Cricetulus griseus: one gene and its partner. The protein of the gene in region 2 interacts with the protein of the main gene of each other region in a pairwise test. Links are inferred from orthologs where the notes say so. Each region holds a gene or a part of one and is shown on either strand. Other genes may lie near its edges.

The links. The genes of interacting proteins can lie anywhere in the genome.
Region 1: the proteins of Mtfr1l (region 2) and armadillo repeat-containing protein 1 interact in binary tests that used the Homo sapiens proteins (3 or more experiments, as listed by UniProt). The two-hybrid records come from large-scale screens. The link is inferred for Cricetulus griseus from reciprocal best matches to the Homo sapiens genes MTFR1L and ARMC1.

Annotation. Positions count from the first base shown.
Region 1 is NC_048595.1:123,714,667-123,722,650, forward strand, and holds the start of armadillo repeat-containing protein 1, read right to left. Parts: upstream 4,962-7,984; 5' UTR 4,822-4,961; intron 1-4,821.
Region 2 is NC_048595.1:18,745,995-18,754,114, forward strand, and holds the start of Mtfr1l (mitochondrial fission regulator 1-like), read left to right. Parts: upstream 1-3,872; 5' UTR 3,873-3,911; intron 3,912-3,934; exon of another isoform or gene 3,935-4,271; intron 4,272-5,889; exon of another isoform or gene 5,890-5,992; intron 5,993-6,408; 5' UTR 6,409-6,525; coding exon 6,526-6,540; intron 6,541-6,902; coding exon 6,903-7,007; intron 7,008-8,120. UniProt on the Homo sapiens protein: Mitochondrial protein required for adaptation of miochondrial dynamics to metabolic changes. Regulates mitochondrial morphology at steady state and mediates AMPK-dependent stress-induced mitochondrial fragmentation via the control of OPA1 levels.

The DNA.
Region 1 (7,984 bases), about 100 Mb from region 2:
ATAATAAAAGGTACATGATAAAAAAGAAAACAACAAAATTATTCAATAAATAGTGTTAGAGTAACTACTTAGCAATACAATTAAAAACCAGTAATGGTCTTTAACTCATACCATGTTGAGAAGAAAAAATACATTAATAATTTTAATCTCCAAGCAGATACTCAAGAAAAAGACTTTATAACAACATAACCTTTATCAAGTAATTTCCTTAGAACCAAAATATTATGGTTATTTTTTGCCACTCTAAAAGTCAGGATAAAAGAAGACACTGGACTGAGCACATGGATAAGACTACCAAGTTTAGGATTTGTGGTCACTTGGGTCTTCCATCAGCATCAAATACCCCTGCTTATGAAGAACAGCTTACCCACAGGATTTTACAGTCAATGGCACAAGTCTCATCCAACCTGAAGGAAGAACTAAGCAATCAGCCATGCATGGTGGTACATGCCTGCCATCCCTGAACTTGAGAGTTGAGAAGCAAGAGGGAGCAGTTCAAAGCCATCCTCAGATACATAGCAAGTTTGAGGTCAGTCTTTGCTACATGAGATACTGCGTCAAAAACAAAAACAGAAAAACCACAGATCAGTTGGTACAGGAACGTGTTACCAAATTTGGAAACTAAGTTCCCTCTCTGGAACCCAAACAGTGGAACAAAGAACCTACTCCATATCTTGTCCTCTGACTTCCACCCTCAGCACAGTGTGACATCATATGCCAATACACACATAAACCTACATACAGTAAATAAATGCATGTTAACACACACATACCACCAACAACAACAACAACAAAAAACAAACAAACACTACATTCAGTGGCTTTTTCACAGAACCTACGGTTTCCTTGAGACTACAGAGTTCTGTTTTTATCTGCCATTCTTTGGATAATTACTCAATGAGATTATCCCTTAAATGTCATACATAATCTTCCTGATCCTTTGGAATGACCTGAAGACAAAATGTCTTGAAACTTCTAATCCTCAAACCCTACTGAGAAAGGTTCAAACTAAGGCCTATCTCGGAAAAGTCAGAAATATCAGGCAGTGACAGAAACTCAACTGCATCAAGCAGAACTGTGCTCAACTGCATGGCAACTACAACTTTTTTTTTTTTTTTTCTTTTTGGACTTTTGAGACAGGGTTTCTCTGTGTAGCTTTGGAGCCTATCCTGGCACTTGCTCTGGAGACCAGGCTGGCCTCCAACTCACAGAGATCCACCTGCCTCTGCCTCCCCAGTGCTGGGATTAAAGGCAAGCGACACCAAAGCTCGGCAACTACAACTTTTAAATGAGGCAAGAAAAGCAGGCTGGAGCTCAGATTTGCCCTCCAAATTACAGGTTTTATGTAAAAAAAATGTCAAATGTCAAAATGTTCGTTTTATTTTAATATCTTGATGGCATCAGGTTACACACCTCTTTCTAACTATGTGGCCTGAATCTTTTTAAATAATCAGTGTTTCTTTAGACTGCTGAGTTAACAGAAGCAATTTTTCCTTTATCTTAATTTTATTTTTGAGAGAAATTCTCACTCAACAGCCCAAGCTACGCTCAACTTGTATGAACCCTCTTGCTAAAGCCCCGAGTGCTGCCATGACATTGGTATACAAACATGCCTGTCAAAACAGAGGATTTTATAAGAGTTATGCTGGAGGTAGGAAGACGGAAACAAGCCTGGGAATAAAAGAGTACTTGCCACATACACTTACACAGAAAGGAAAATAGGAAGAAGGGGGGGAGGAGGGAGAGGAGAAGGAAGGAGGAAATCCCCTTTCTGCTTCTGGGGTGATAGGATTACATGTGTCTGCCACTGCCTGGCTTAAAAGTTAGACTTTGGGGATGAGGAGATGACTGAGTGGTTAAAAACACATACTGCTCTTGCTGAGGACCCAAGTTCAGTTCCAAACGTACATGTTCAGTAGTTGACAACCACCTGTAACTCCAGTTCCAGGGTATCTGACCCTCTTCTGTCCTCCACCAGTACTTGCACTCATGTGCACATACCCACACACACACAAATAAATCTTTCTAAATATTAGAACTTTAAGCCTAACGTATTTACTGAGTGTATTTTGTTGTTTGTTTGTTTTTTTAACTTTTAAGTTAACTTAAATTGTTTGATGGAGATATTTGCCTTCACAAACTGGACAAATAGCTATAATTGATCATTGCAGAATCCACTCCAAACTTCCTCTATTCCAGATTTAACAGACCTCAAAATAAACAGAGGAAGAAATTGAATGAGAGTCAACATACAATGGAAATGCCATCATGAAATCCATTACTTTGTATGCTAATGCAAAAAAATTTTAATTCATTTGTGGCACACTAAAAATAATTTTAGAGCTGGAGAGATGGTTCAGTTGATAAAGTGTCTGCTGTACAAGAATGAAAGCTGAGTTTGCATTTCAAACACCAATGCAGAAGCTGGGTGAAGTGGTGCATGTAGTTAATCCTAGTTGTAGAAGGTGGAGACAGGTGGATCCATGGAGTTTCAGTGACAGACCCTGTCACAAAGACTAAAGCGGAGGAAGACTGACAAGACATCTGATATTGATCTGAGGCATCCACAAAGGTGCACAGACACGCACATACATCCTTATGCACAGATGCACACACCAACTTGAGATCTCTCTCTCTTTCTCTCTCTCTCTCTCTCTCTCTCTCTCTCTCTCTCTCTCTCTCTCTCTCTCACACACACACACACACACACACACACACACATACACACACACACACACACACACCACAAAGAGGGATAATTTAAAATAACCTAAAATGCTGATCTGAGCAAATTTATAGTAGATAATGACCACAATGAAAATTAAAACAAACAAAATTCTTCCCTTACTTTCTATACTGAATACCACATTAGGCTCAAATACAAATATGTTTGTTCATTTGTTTGCTAGTTATGTTTTCATCCAAAGCATTAATGTCAGGAAGCACGGACCTGGACAGCCTCAATAAATACAATTTCCTCGGACCGTTCCAAAACATCAGTAGGTATTTTTGAAGGCACATTAAATGATTTCTGGTACAAACAGGAGCCTGAAACTTTTTACTGCCATATAAGCAAATGCCTCTAAGCAGAGCACTGAGGTGGGGTTGGAGAGATGGCTCAGCAGTTAGGAACACAGGCTTATCTTCCCCAAGTCCAGGTTCAATTCCCAGCACCCAGACAGCCACTTACAACTGTAAAGCCAGTTCTAGAGTATCCGATGCCCTCTTCTGGCACCAGGCATGCACATGGTGCACAGACATATATACAGACAAAACTCTCTATCACAGAAAATGATTTTTTTTAATCTTTAAGAAAACATTAAAAACTAAAACTAATTATTGAGCAATGAGATATCATGAATCTGGCAGTTTGCTTCAGCTTTATTATCAAATTGCCAAATGAATAAATTGGAAAAGCCTTTCCCTTCCAAAGAAACTAACTGGAAGGCCTTCTTGGCAAAAAGAAAATGAGGGTATGCCTTACATAGGACAACTAGACTGCAGCAAACCGTGTGTGAATAAACAAAAGGTTCTTTTAGCCATCAGCAGTTAACTTTTCTTTTGTCTTAGTTTGCTCTTTTACCTTTAAAGTCAGCACCTGATGTCTTACAAGACAATTTTGAAACACCTTAACTACTGATGTCTATTTTAAGATTTGGGGCTGCTAGGTTAAAATTGTCGAGCGGCAATTTTTTTTTTTTTTTGAAAAAGAAAACTCAGTCTTGCAAATAACAAAACTGAAAAACTTCGTCCTTGTCTTTCTGTATCTCAGTCTTGGAAGGCTTTATTTTTCCTTACTTACCCCTGGTTGACCTATGTAGACCAGGCTGGCCTGGAACTAACAATGATCTGCTTGCCACTACCTCCCAAATGCTGGGATTAAAGGCACACTCCAAGACCCAGCCTTATCTTCTCTTCTTTGGTTCTATGTAGACAAACACAATCCTTCTCAAACTTTTACTGCGCACTGCGATCCCTAAGGAATCTTGTGGAAAAGCAAGTTCAAACTCAGTGGGTGCAATGGGGTCTGGGAATCTGAGAAGTCGATCAGCTAGCATTTGAGGACTAAGCCGCTGTCAGGCAGTCTTAGGAGGACGAAGCATGTGAGACATCTGTATCTGGGCAGATGTGGGGAAAGTTCTTCTTTTCTTTCAGCCAAGAACCATCACTTAATTCACACAAAGTATTAAGCGCTCACGTGCTAACAGCTGCGGCGGGTACACACTTAGCCTAAGTCCTTAATGTGTTAAGTGAGGTTGAAAAGCAACCACCACCACCAAACACTGAGATCCGATCTGGCTTCTCCCTGAGATTAACAGTAACTCTCTGGGAATTGAGTTACCTCCTCCAAGCCTCAGCTTCTTCACATAACGGTCTCGAGCGCGTTTCAGGTTTGAAAGAAAATAAGAACGCAGGACAGTAAAACTTTCGAGCAATCAGGCAAGCACAGAACGACTGACCCACGCGGGGACTTCTACTGCAAGCGCTGGGGAGATAGTATCACGAAGGGAGCCGCTAACTGCGCAAACGCCCACCACCTGTGGACACGGGTTTCTCTTGAACGAAGGCCTGCGCGCTCAATCTCGTAGTGTACGGGATTTACAGAAAGAACGCCGGGAGCTGAAGCAAAAGCAAAGAGGCGGACGACACCCGCCACCCGTAGGACAGGCTGGCTGGCCAAAGTCGGATGCGGGGAGGAGAGCGAGCGTCCCGAGCCTGCAGGGACGTCCCGCGGGCTGCTGCTGGCTGGAGGCGGGCGCCGCGGCGGGCCCGCGGTACGGCGGCCGCCTCCCGGCCCCAGCGTGCCCCCAGCTCACGTACCCTCCAGAGCTCCGGGCGTCCGGGGCCAGCCGCAGCATCAGAGCCGCACCCACGACGGCACACGACCGGCGGCGCGGCAAACCAGAGCCGCGGCCTGACTCAAAGAAGCACAGGGTTGAGTCGCCGGCGGATGAGGTTCTCCGGGCTCCGCGGTGACCCTGTCACCTCTGCTGGCTTTATAGTCCTATTGGCTGAGACTGAGGGCAACGTGAGGAAGGACACCTAATCAGCGAAGGGATACTTCCAAATCAAATCTCTCATTGGTCAACTCTCCGCGACCAATGAGAACTCGGAACACTGAATTGGGCCCAAGGGCTCGCCGTCCACCGAGTACTAAACACATTCGAGTCCATCGCTGTTTCGCGACTACAACTCCCAGAGTTCCTGCGGCAGGGTTTCAGCTTCTGCGTTCAGAAATTCAAACCGAATATTCTGTCTCCGGCAAGTCTTCCAGGTCTAATAAAACGACCTTGTAATCCTTCATGCGCGTCTGTGAGTCTTTGCTCAGGCCCTTCAGACATTTCCTTGTAGTTATTACTATGAACGTCGGCACTCTGGCGTCCTTAGATTTCATTCGTTTCTTCTCGGAGTCGCCTTATATGCAAAGCGAGGGACGCCAAAAGCTTTCGGGTCGGCTGAGGTGATTTGACATTGGAACGAGTTTGTCTTTTAATTTCTCAAGTTCATCATGAAGTTTCGTTAACACCGCTTTCTATTTAGCAAAGTAAAGACACACTTGTTTTATCGGTAGTAGTCACTGAGGGGTCGCGTTAGATAAATGTTTTATTCTCCAAAGTATGTCTCGAATTGTAATCCATATCCCGCGGGCCAATCTGAAAATAATACATCCATCACGCTCATTGTGGACCTTCTCTTTTACTGTCTGATTCTGATGTATAGTTCATATATTAAGGATACAGGGATTGGCTGTTGTTTGTTACAAGGGATTTGAAAGGGCTTTAATTTGGAAAGAGTGTGGAAGAGTACCAGACTGTACTCTAAGCCTTTATCTCCAGGGCTTTGTAAGTGAATTTATAAACCAGACCGCCAAGGTAGCTCAGGCCTGTAATCTGAGCACTAAGTAGGCAAAGGCAGAAGGAAGATCATTCCAGGTTCAAGGCCAGTTTAGGCCAACTGGAGCTTCATGGAGACCTTGACTTAAAAAACAAAGCAACAAAAGAACCCATCTAGTTGAGTTTCTTTGTGTTCCCTTGTTCTTGGTTATTGTATTATAAAAAACCTATAATGAAATGGGAGCAAAGAAAAGCTCAGTAGAAAACAACGACAGGTTTCTAATACTATCTGACCTCGGGCAGAAACAAGTCTGGCTTGCTTTATTTCCAAAGCCACGAGGGGGAGTGGTGGTAAGAGAACACTGAGTCTGAATTAAAACAGGAAAAGAAAATTAAAAAAAAGTAAATATACTAAATCCAAAGGGCATAGCTGGTTAAACATAAACTATCTGGTTGAGTAAATGAAAAAAATTGCCTAATATTCTAATAAAAGATGACTCAGTTATCCAGAAATACAAATTTACTATTTTGCATATTAAGTGAATTTGCGTATTAGGAAAAGAAATATAGTATTGTCTGAACTAGTAATTAGTGACAGGGTTTTTTTTTTTACACTGTTGGGAAAATACATTTCACAAAGTCTTTATCTGTTGGAAGCTCACCATCTGAAACTGAATGTATTCACACTTGTGCCATTAAAGCTCTGAGAAGGCTAAACTTTCTGCAAAGTGCCATTACCAAGAAAAGATGGCTGGAACTAAAAAGCAAAGGATTCCTTAAAAAAATAATTAGCTTTTCCTAAACTCCTATAGATTGATTACAGGCCTCAGGGAAGTCTTTAAGTTTTATGAATTCTCATTCCTGACTTTAAAGTGTCTGAACTTGACACCTATGAAATTATGCTACCTACTATTATGAGTCATGCCTTGAGTCTTAGATAGCTTGCCACAGGACAGGCTGGAATGTAAAGTTTCTCAATCGCTGCATTGCTTAAGACGCTATTCAGATCCTGTCAGTTTTATTTAACAATCATCTTGTGAATACACACATTGTGCCAGAGACAGTCTTAGCCATTGTGTGTGGTGTGTGTCAGAGGACAATGCTGTGGTATCCATTCTCTCCCTCCTCCTCTGTATGATGAGGTGTTTTGAATGGGAATCTCCACCCATCAGGACCATTTATATGATGTTTTGAATTAAGAATATGTGGTTCTGGTCACTGGGAGATAAAAAAGTGGCTGTGATTAACAAGATACCAAAAACACGAAAATGAAAGTTTGCTTTCCTAGGGCAATTGGTACTGGTCAGCTGGGGCTGAAGAATCAGCTGTGATTAAAGAGACCAGCAGCCAGACGGTGGTGGCACACACCTTTAATCCCAGGACTCTAAAGGCAGAGGCAGGTGGATCTCTGTGAGCTCGAGGCTAGCCTGGGCTACAGAGCAAGTTCCAGGACAGGCTCCAAGGCTACACAGAGAAACCCTGTCTCAAAGAAGAGAGAGAGAGACCAGCACCAGACATGGCTGCCAGTGTTGTGTGCTCTGTGGGTATCTAACCTGAGGATCCAGGCAGCACAGATGCTGAGAGTTTTACCCCAATCAGGTAACCACACAAGTGCTTATCTTGACATTTCTTGAAGATAGGAGAAGAATATTGTTTATCCACCACATCTGCCGGGTGAACCTCAGAGACCAGCAGAAAGTTACCATTGTTGGAGAAAAATAAAACACTCCATGGCTGGCTGGGTGGCTGGCCCCTGGCATCCTCCTTTCCTTCTTTTGTTGCTCCCCATTCCTCTTTCAAGCCTAGATTTCTCCCATTTATTCTCTCAGCCTAGCAGTCCCAGCTATTTCTCTCTCCTGCATTGCTACTGACTGTTCAGCTCTTTATTAAGCCAATCAGGTGTTTTAGACAGGCAAAGTAGTAGCACAGCTTTGCAGATTCAAACAAATGCAACATAAAAGAATGCAATACATCTTTGCATCACTAAACAAATATTCCACAGCATAAACAAATGTAACACACCTTAAACTAATAATCCACAACAGTAGCTTCCTCCCTATTGGCTAGTGTCCATAATACTAGAATGTATTATGCAGACTCCTGCGAGAAAAAAAAAAAGACAAAGTTTTATCCAGATGTGAATCCTGCAA
Region 2 (8,120 bases):
TCTGGAAATGGTCCCCACCTCATTCCCAGGCTTCCTAGAGAGCTCCAAGGCCAACTGAGGCTGCTCCCCTCACCTGGCCTGAATGATGGTGGTAGATGAAGGGGCCCGGATGAGCGTGTAAGTGAGCCAAAGGCCTGTTACCACTATCAGCTCAAGTCCCCCCATACATTCTGGGGTGATCTCTGTGGACCTTCCCACACAGTGACAGAGTTCAGGGCCTCAGTGTGAAGAATAAGGAATAGGCTGGAAAGACAGACTCCCCTTCTTTCTTGGTGTCCCCTCTCACGCCAAAGGAATCTAAGAGCTTGGGCCTGGGGGCCAGGCTGCCAGCCCCATGCCTGTTTGGAGCCTTCAATCCTGACCATCCCCCAGGCAGCTTTCTGTGGCCAGTGCCCCCAGCTTGGGGGTCAATGTCAGCTGGAAGACAGCAGTGGGGAGCCTTGCACAGAATCCTTCTACAGACGTGGAGACTATATTGTCCCACGGGCACCCTCCAGAGCACTTCATGGACCTGATGGCCCGAGCCCAGCCCTGTTTGGAAAGTTGGAGTTCACTGTGAAGTAGGTTGTACTTCAGCAATAGGGTTCTGGGGGGGGGAGGGGGGGGTCCTACTGCCTGCCCCAGCATAGGTTCATGATGGGACTGTTGGAGCCAGTGTCCCCAGGACACCTCCTACCCTGACCCCTACTCCACAGAAGTGGCGCCCAGCCAAAGACCACAGCCAGCACTGTCTAGGCCCCCAGGGTACTCTGGACACACTCATTTGCCACTAGGTGGCCACCAGTTCCCCTTGGCCACGCCTAGGGACTTGACCCACATCCTGAACCACTGACCATGGCCAGTCTTTTTTTATGCACACAGGAAAGCGTTTTATATGAACTTTCTCATAGTTTATAGATATTTTTTAGAAATCTGAATATCGAGGAGAATGAAGTGGGGACAATGGCTCCCCCCAGCAGCAGCCGCATGATGGCTGGGTCTGAAATCCCAGATGGACCCTGCCTGATGTCCTTGCAGCTGCACGTGGGGGACAGCGTGCCCATCGTCTTTCTCTTCCATGGTTTTTACAAGTGGTCTTCCAAGGGTCAGCATTTCCCCAGCTCTGTCCTGCGCTTCACACTCCCAAGACTGCCTTGACCTTAATCTCGTTAAGGCCTTCTTGACATCAGCCAGTTCCCTGTGTGCCCAGTTCTTTTCCCTGCCCCGCCATGGCTGTCTTCAACCTGGCAGAGGAGGAAGGCAGGTACCTGATCCCTGAGCCCAGCTCTCATCTGTTGCTGGAGTCACCCCACAGAGCCCACCTCATTGTCTCTGGGAGACCCTGCAGAGATCACACATTTCCTCATTTCTCAGAACAAACCAGTGAATTGGAAAATCATACCCATTTTTAAACCAGGATCACTCAGTACTGGAGTTGTGAATCAAACCCATGTGACTCCAAAGGCTGTGTTTTGGGTTGGAGGGTGCTTTGTTTGATACAGCACCCCTGCTCACTTCCCCCTGTGGTAGCAAGGAAATCCTTTAAAATCATGACTCCTCCTGAAGGCGGTGGTAATGCACTCCTTTAGTCCTAGCACCCGAGAGACAGAGGCAGGAGGAAATCTGTGAGTTCAAGGCCAGCCCGGTCTACAGAGCGAGTTACAGGACAGGCTCCAAAGCTACACAGAGAAAAACCCTGTCTCAAAAAAATAAAAATCATGATTCATGATCTGGCCAAACATAGCTGGTGCCAATGGCTCTGCCAGGTTCCTTATCTTGGGGGGTATGAGCCCGACAGAAACGGAGAGTACCTGGGCACTTCACGGTGCCTCTGCCTCCTCGTAGGCATGATGAGTATGTGCCACCCAGCCTCAGAAGGGGCCAAGTGGACTCCACACTGAGCAGTTCCGGTCCTATGTAAAGGACTGACTGCTGGGGCTTCCTGAGTCTTCAATGATACCTCTGCATACCCCCAGCTGCCATCTTGTCACCCCCTGTCCCATCCCCAGTACGTCCTGTAATAAAATTAGAGCGTCTAAGGAAACTTGGTGCTTTTCCTTTGAGCAGGATGTTTGGTTTCATCCTTCTGAGGTCTGACTGCTGCCCTATTGGGAGATGGGCAAGGATGGACATTTGAGCTGGACTGTCTTTGGAGCCTTGTCTGTCAGCAGAGGGCTTGAGTGACATGCCTAAGGTGAGTTTGTAATAGAATGATCAAATATACCAAAGAATCTGATATTTGGTGTGGAGAGTAGTCCTAAAGTTAAATCTCTTGTCTTAGAAGCAGAGCCCATGACAGGCATTAGGTAGTTACAGGAGGAAAGGCACCTGGATAACAGTGCTTGTTACCAAGACAACCTGAGTTCAGTCCCCGAATCCCACGTGGTGGAGAGAGCCAATTCCTAGTTATCTTTTGCTCTCCACATGGGCACCACAGCTCACACACATGGTGGGGAGGGTGTAGGGAGAAGGAAGACCTGTAAAAAGAAGGCTTGAGTCAGAAGAGGGCAAGGAGAAAAATGTAGCACCAGAGTGTCAACCAATGCCTAGCCATCTGCAGAGAAGGGCTCTAGAACACAAACCAGCCTTTTGTACTGGAATCACTTTGACTAGTGTGGTGAGATAAAGCCAGTTTCCAGATTAGGGATTGATTATAATCATTATATGGGGACCAGTGCAAAATGAAGTGCAAGAAAAATGTAAGACACATTTAGTCAGGTGCTAGGCAGTGGCTTTGTCACTGATAGACTGTGCAACAGTCATATCCTACAAAATCAAAGGCGCTGAGAAACTCGTGGTGTCAAGAACTTGAATGGTGCTCCATCTGTGTTTAGATGTAAATGTTTACAATTGTGATACAACTGCTCTGGGATTCAGCACCAGTAGCAGCTATGCAAGTTTGCAGCCTGGAGCAATAGGCTACACCAATTCCTCTAGGTGTGTAGTACACTACATTAAGTAGGTGTGTGTAAGTACACTCTATCTATAATGTTTGCGTAACTCGGTCACCTAAGGACACATTCCTCAGAGAGTACCCTTTCTTCAGCAGTGCATAACTGTAATTTCAAGGGGACAACAATAGAGAAATAAAGCATGCATGGGCGTAGTAAGGCAGGTCTGGGCGTAGTGCCCGTTGTGACTGCATCGGGCTGTCCACCCACGAAGCCAACAGATTTGTCCCTGGCAGATGGGGATTGCAGGCTTTGGGACCAAGGCAGTGCAACTGTGAGTCAGGCAAAGCCATGTACTGAGGGCAGAAAATGAAGTGTGTCCCGTTAACTGGATGCCATGGAGACCGGCAGCGTGAGCTTGTGAGCTTGGAAGGAGTCTCCGGCGTCATCAATCCACCCATCTAATCCATAAACTGAATTATGCAGCACACGTGTGTTTGTGTGCGAGACACGGGCTTTTAAATAGAAGGAATCCACTCCGAAGCACTGCAGGGTATGCGTCAAAGGCGAAAGCGTCCATTTTTGCTGGGGGCCGTTTGTCAGGGAACCAAGCAACGGGCCTGAGGGTCGACTAGACAAGCATGGCAGAAATGCCGAGACGAGGGTTCGGAGACTTGCAGCAGCAGTAAGGTCGACACCAACTATAGTAGGTGCTGAACTGCAACACTGCCAGACCACCGCTGTCCAGAAGCTTGTAGAGAATAAACGTGGGAAGCAACGAGGAATCGGAACCGAGGTCCTGCGGCTGAAAGCACCGGCTCAGCGCCCTAGGAGCAGCCCGCGCGGGGGGGCGGGGCCCGCGGAGGGGTGTGGCCTCCCGCGTGTGCCGCCCACTCAGGCCGCGGCCGCCCCGGCCCCTTGTTAAGCCCGCCTCTCCCGGGCGTGCGGCATGATACGCAGCGGCAAACGACTGCTTCCGGAGGCGGGTCAGCGGAAGTGGCGTTTGAGGCCCGGCCGCCTGCTGTAGTAGGAGGGGCTGAGGTGAGTCCGAAGCTTGAGTCTGAGGTGAACCCGGCGTCGGGCAGCGCGGCCGGGAGGCCCGCTGCCAGCGCCTCCGTCCCGGCGCCGGGGGAGCGCGTGATTGCTGTTCTCGTGCGAGTTCTCGCGGGAGGCGCCGCTGCCTGTGCCCCCTCCCCCCCCCGGCGGGGCCACTAGTCCCGAGGCGTAGTTGCCGGCCAAGTCACCCCGCCGTTGGGGTCGGCCCGGCCGTTAGAGCGCGCCCCGGGCTCCGCGCCCTGGCCGCGTGACGTTTCTGGGACCTGCGCCGGCCGGCGGGAGACACCGACCCGGCCCGTGGGTCCACGGGCCGCCGGACGCGCAGTGAGGACTCGGCCGACCTTGGTCTGGGCCGGGCGGGCGGGAGGCCGGGCGGGCGGCGGCGTTGACGAGGACGCCAGGCGTTGCCTCGGCTGCCCGTGGGACCCTCTCGCCCTCGGCGCGGGCAAAGTTTCTGCCGGCTCGGGGCCCTCGTGGAGCGCGGCGGCGCGGGGCGGGGCGGGGCGGCGCGGGTCTGCCGGGAGAGACGCGCTCACTGGGGCTGTGGCAGCGCCGAGGTGCGGAGACCGGGGCTCGCCTAGCGGGCGCGCGGGGGGGCGGGGCCTCGGAGCGAAGTTGGTGTCGCCCGCGGCGGTTTCTCACGGCGGAGCCAGCGCTTGCGGTGCCTGGCAGAGGCCGCGCTGTGGCCGATTGGCTACTTCATTTGTCTTGCGCGGCCTCGGAAAGCAACACTGCGCGATGCTTGAGTAGAGGGGCGGAGGGAACTGGGATGAGCTGGGCTAGGGTGCCGAGGAGGCGTGTTGGGAGCTGATGGCCGGGTGGCAGTGTGGCTCCAAAGCGTGCACTCGCCAAACAGTATTAGAGCTTGGTTTGGAGAGAGCCGGAAGATGGGGTCCGGCTGCTTGGTAGGCCCTGATGGCAGGAGGGCTGTACAGTCTAGCAGAGTAATTGAAGGAGCAGTTTATTAAGATCTGCCTTTGCCTGAGGATTAGATTCAGCTGGAGTCTCTGGAGATGAAGCAAGACAGGAGTAGCACAGTTAGATGGCATTCAGCAAGAAGGCTGGCACACAGGAAATTTGTAGGCTTCAACGGCGCTGCACATACCAGAACCTAGCCCAGACTTTGGGCACGGTCTTCTGTACTGAGTGACTGGCCAGACAAGTCCTTTCCTTTCTTCGTGTGTATCATAAGGTGACAATTCTGTCACAGTAGAAGAGGAACTCCAGCTCTCCTTTAAAAGATACTGCTCGTCAAATTCAGCTCATCCCTGTTCAGCACCAGACCTGGGTTCCCTAGTAACTTCTGACCCAGGCATTGCAAGCCCTCATGACAAGACCCTTGGTCTACCTTTTGCAATGATTTAGGATATTCTGCCTTGTTTTACAAGTCCCTCTCTTTCCTACCCTGTCCAAACTCGACATGGGGTCTTGAACTGAAGTCGACTCCTGTGCCCACCTGCCTAGTGCACCTCTTAATGATGCCCAGCCTTCCTTAGAAAAGTGTGTATTCTTGGTGTTCAACAGATACAATGCTCACTGATTGAACTTTAATGCCAGGGCAGCTGTGAAGAGTGCAGTCAGGATGACTGCTTTGTATGTTAACCTGAGAAACGAGTTTTTACAATAACACTCATGAGCAACTCTGTTTTGTGTTTTGTTTTTGTTTTTGAGGAAATAAGATCAGTTATTTAAAAGGGAGTAACTTTTAAATTTCATTAAGCACTTCAAGACCCACCTACCCCAATTTCACCGACCTTTAGGGTAGCCTAGAGTAGCAATTTTTCTCTTTGTTTTGTTTTTTTGAGACTGGGTTTCTCTGTGTAGCAGCTTTGGCTGTCCTGGAACTTGCTTTGTAGACCAGGCTGGCCTTGAACTCAGGTCTTCTGCCTCTCAAGTGCTGGGACTAAAGGTGTGTGCCACTACTGCCCAGCGAGTGTTGGATTTTCTTTTCCCCATTTTACAGATGAAGAAACCAGCATTCAAAAACATTAAGAAACACCGCTATAGAAGACTAAGCCAAAATAAAAAAATAAAAAAATAAAATAAAAAAGCTCTTGGGGCTGGAGGTGTGTTTCTGTGACAGAATGTTTCCAGTTGGGAGTAGGGTGTGCATTACAACCACTTAAATCTCTTTTCTCTGTAGCCCAGTAGACTGAAATTAGCATGAGTTGGCTGTTGATTCTTTCTTACCCACTTGCATTTTCAAGAATAAATGTTTGGGCTTGGATGGTACCCTGGGTTTTGCTTTCCTTTGAGCTTTGTAACTACCAAAGAGCTTTGCCTCAGTTCATCTTAGAGCCTGGAGGTTTCCCTGAGTTGGCCAAGCTTTCTCAGCAAATCTGGGTTTTGAAAAGCCAGTGATAAGTAAGGGCAGCCCTTGGGCTAGTTTTCTTCCTCTACACATTGGAGATGGTTTTAGCAGTGGCTTTGCAGAGGTTTGTTTTATGACTGTCAAGTCCCTACTCTGGTGTTTGTTTCACAGGAAAGATCTCATGTTCTTAGGAATGGCCTGATATGAAAGAGTCATACCTCCAGCTTTCCCAAGCTGCTCTGTGGGTGCCTTGTCCTTCAAGTGCAGGAGCTGGCTGAACTATCGGGAATGGAAGCCAATGTGGTAAGGAGTCCAAGGCAGGGGGCTTAGAGAGCTGAACTATACAAGGCCCTGAGATGCCAGTTCATTTTTTATTTTCACTGAAGCTCTGGAATTTGAGCAGCTGTCATCCTACTTCCTTTTTGGTACACTTCCTGAGTCCATGTTTTTATTTTTTTGTGCAAAAGAACATGAGGGAACCAGAACAGTCCATACCCCCAGCTAATTCCAGTTCCTTCTCTGAACCCTCCCAGCCACTGACTTTAGCTGCACCAGCTGTAGAAACCGGCCCTTACAATTGACTTGACTCACCTCTAGAGGAGGGAAGGCAAGAAACAGTAGTTAGACTCACTCTGAGGTTTTTGGGTTGTCCATCTCTTCCCTAGACTATCCCAATCTGGCAAAACAAGCCACATGGGGCTGCTCGGAGTGTGGTAAGAAGAATTGGGACCAATCTACCCCTGAAACCTTGTCCCCGGGCATCCTTTGAGGTGAGTGTACTGGAAGGATAAGGAAAGGAAAGACTCAGTATGGAATGTGGATGCTACTTCTGTGCAGAAGACATCTTGTTAGTTGCCAAGGCTTTTGCCTACTTTCCTGGTCACTCATTTCCTAAGTGCTTATATAAATAGATCCTGGTCATTGTGCCTTTCTGATTGTGTACAGACATGTGACCACAACAATCAGGCTTTCAGCTTGCTCATAAACTGATAATCTTTTATCCTTTGTTGCTGCTGCTAAGTGACTCAGATTTTATAAGCTTCCAGCAATGCGTTTTATCAAAGCAGGCCAGAAAGCCTTTGCTAAACCAAATCTCGAGATGATTTACGTTAGAGCTCTGAGGCATTTGTGCCTGGCAGGTCTATACATGAGTGCTGTGACTCTTGAGTAGACCTGCTTTTCTCACCAGCCCTAGGAGTGGGCCACTTAGCCTCTATTTTTAGTGTTTCTCTGTGGCCTCAAATCCCCATCCTCCTTTTTCTGTCCAAATATGGCCACTATATCACTGGCTGCTTGACAGGCTGACCTGTGTTACAGAGGCTTTAGCTTCCACTCTACAGCAGATTTCCTGTCTGGATTAGGTCTCTGAGACCTGCTTCTGTCATAGAAAATGAAATAATGTGCATTGGAGCCAAATGCTTCCATTAAAAACTCCTGGTGATGCTGGGTGGTGGTGGTATGCTGTCTTTAATCTCAGCACTTGCAAAGTAGAGGCAGGCCCTGTCTACACAGCAAGTTCTAGGACAGCTAGAGCTACACAGGAACCTGGTCTCAGAGGGAAAAGAACTCCTGATGAGGCATCTGCTCTGTGTTAGATGGCTAGGGTGGTGAGTATGGGAAACAGATATGAAAGCATGATGGCACAAAGGCGGTAGAAACACTTGCATAAAAGAATGTGGGCCTAGGGAGAAAGAGGTAGGGGTGTGTGTGTGTGTGTGTGTGTGTGTGTGTGTGTGAGAGAGAGAGAGAGAGAGAGAGAGAGAGAGAGAGAGAGAGATAGTGATAGCTGCAGTCAGTGTAGGAACTGAATCCAGAGTTAGACCTGGGATCAGGGTTGGTGTCAGGAGGCAGGATTGAGGTTAGAAGTGTGTGGTTGAGGGAAT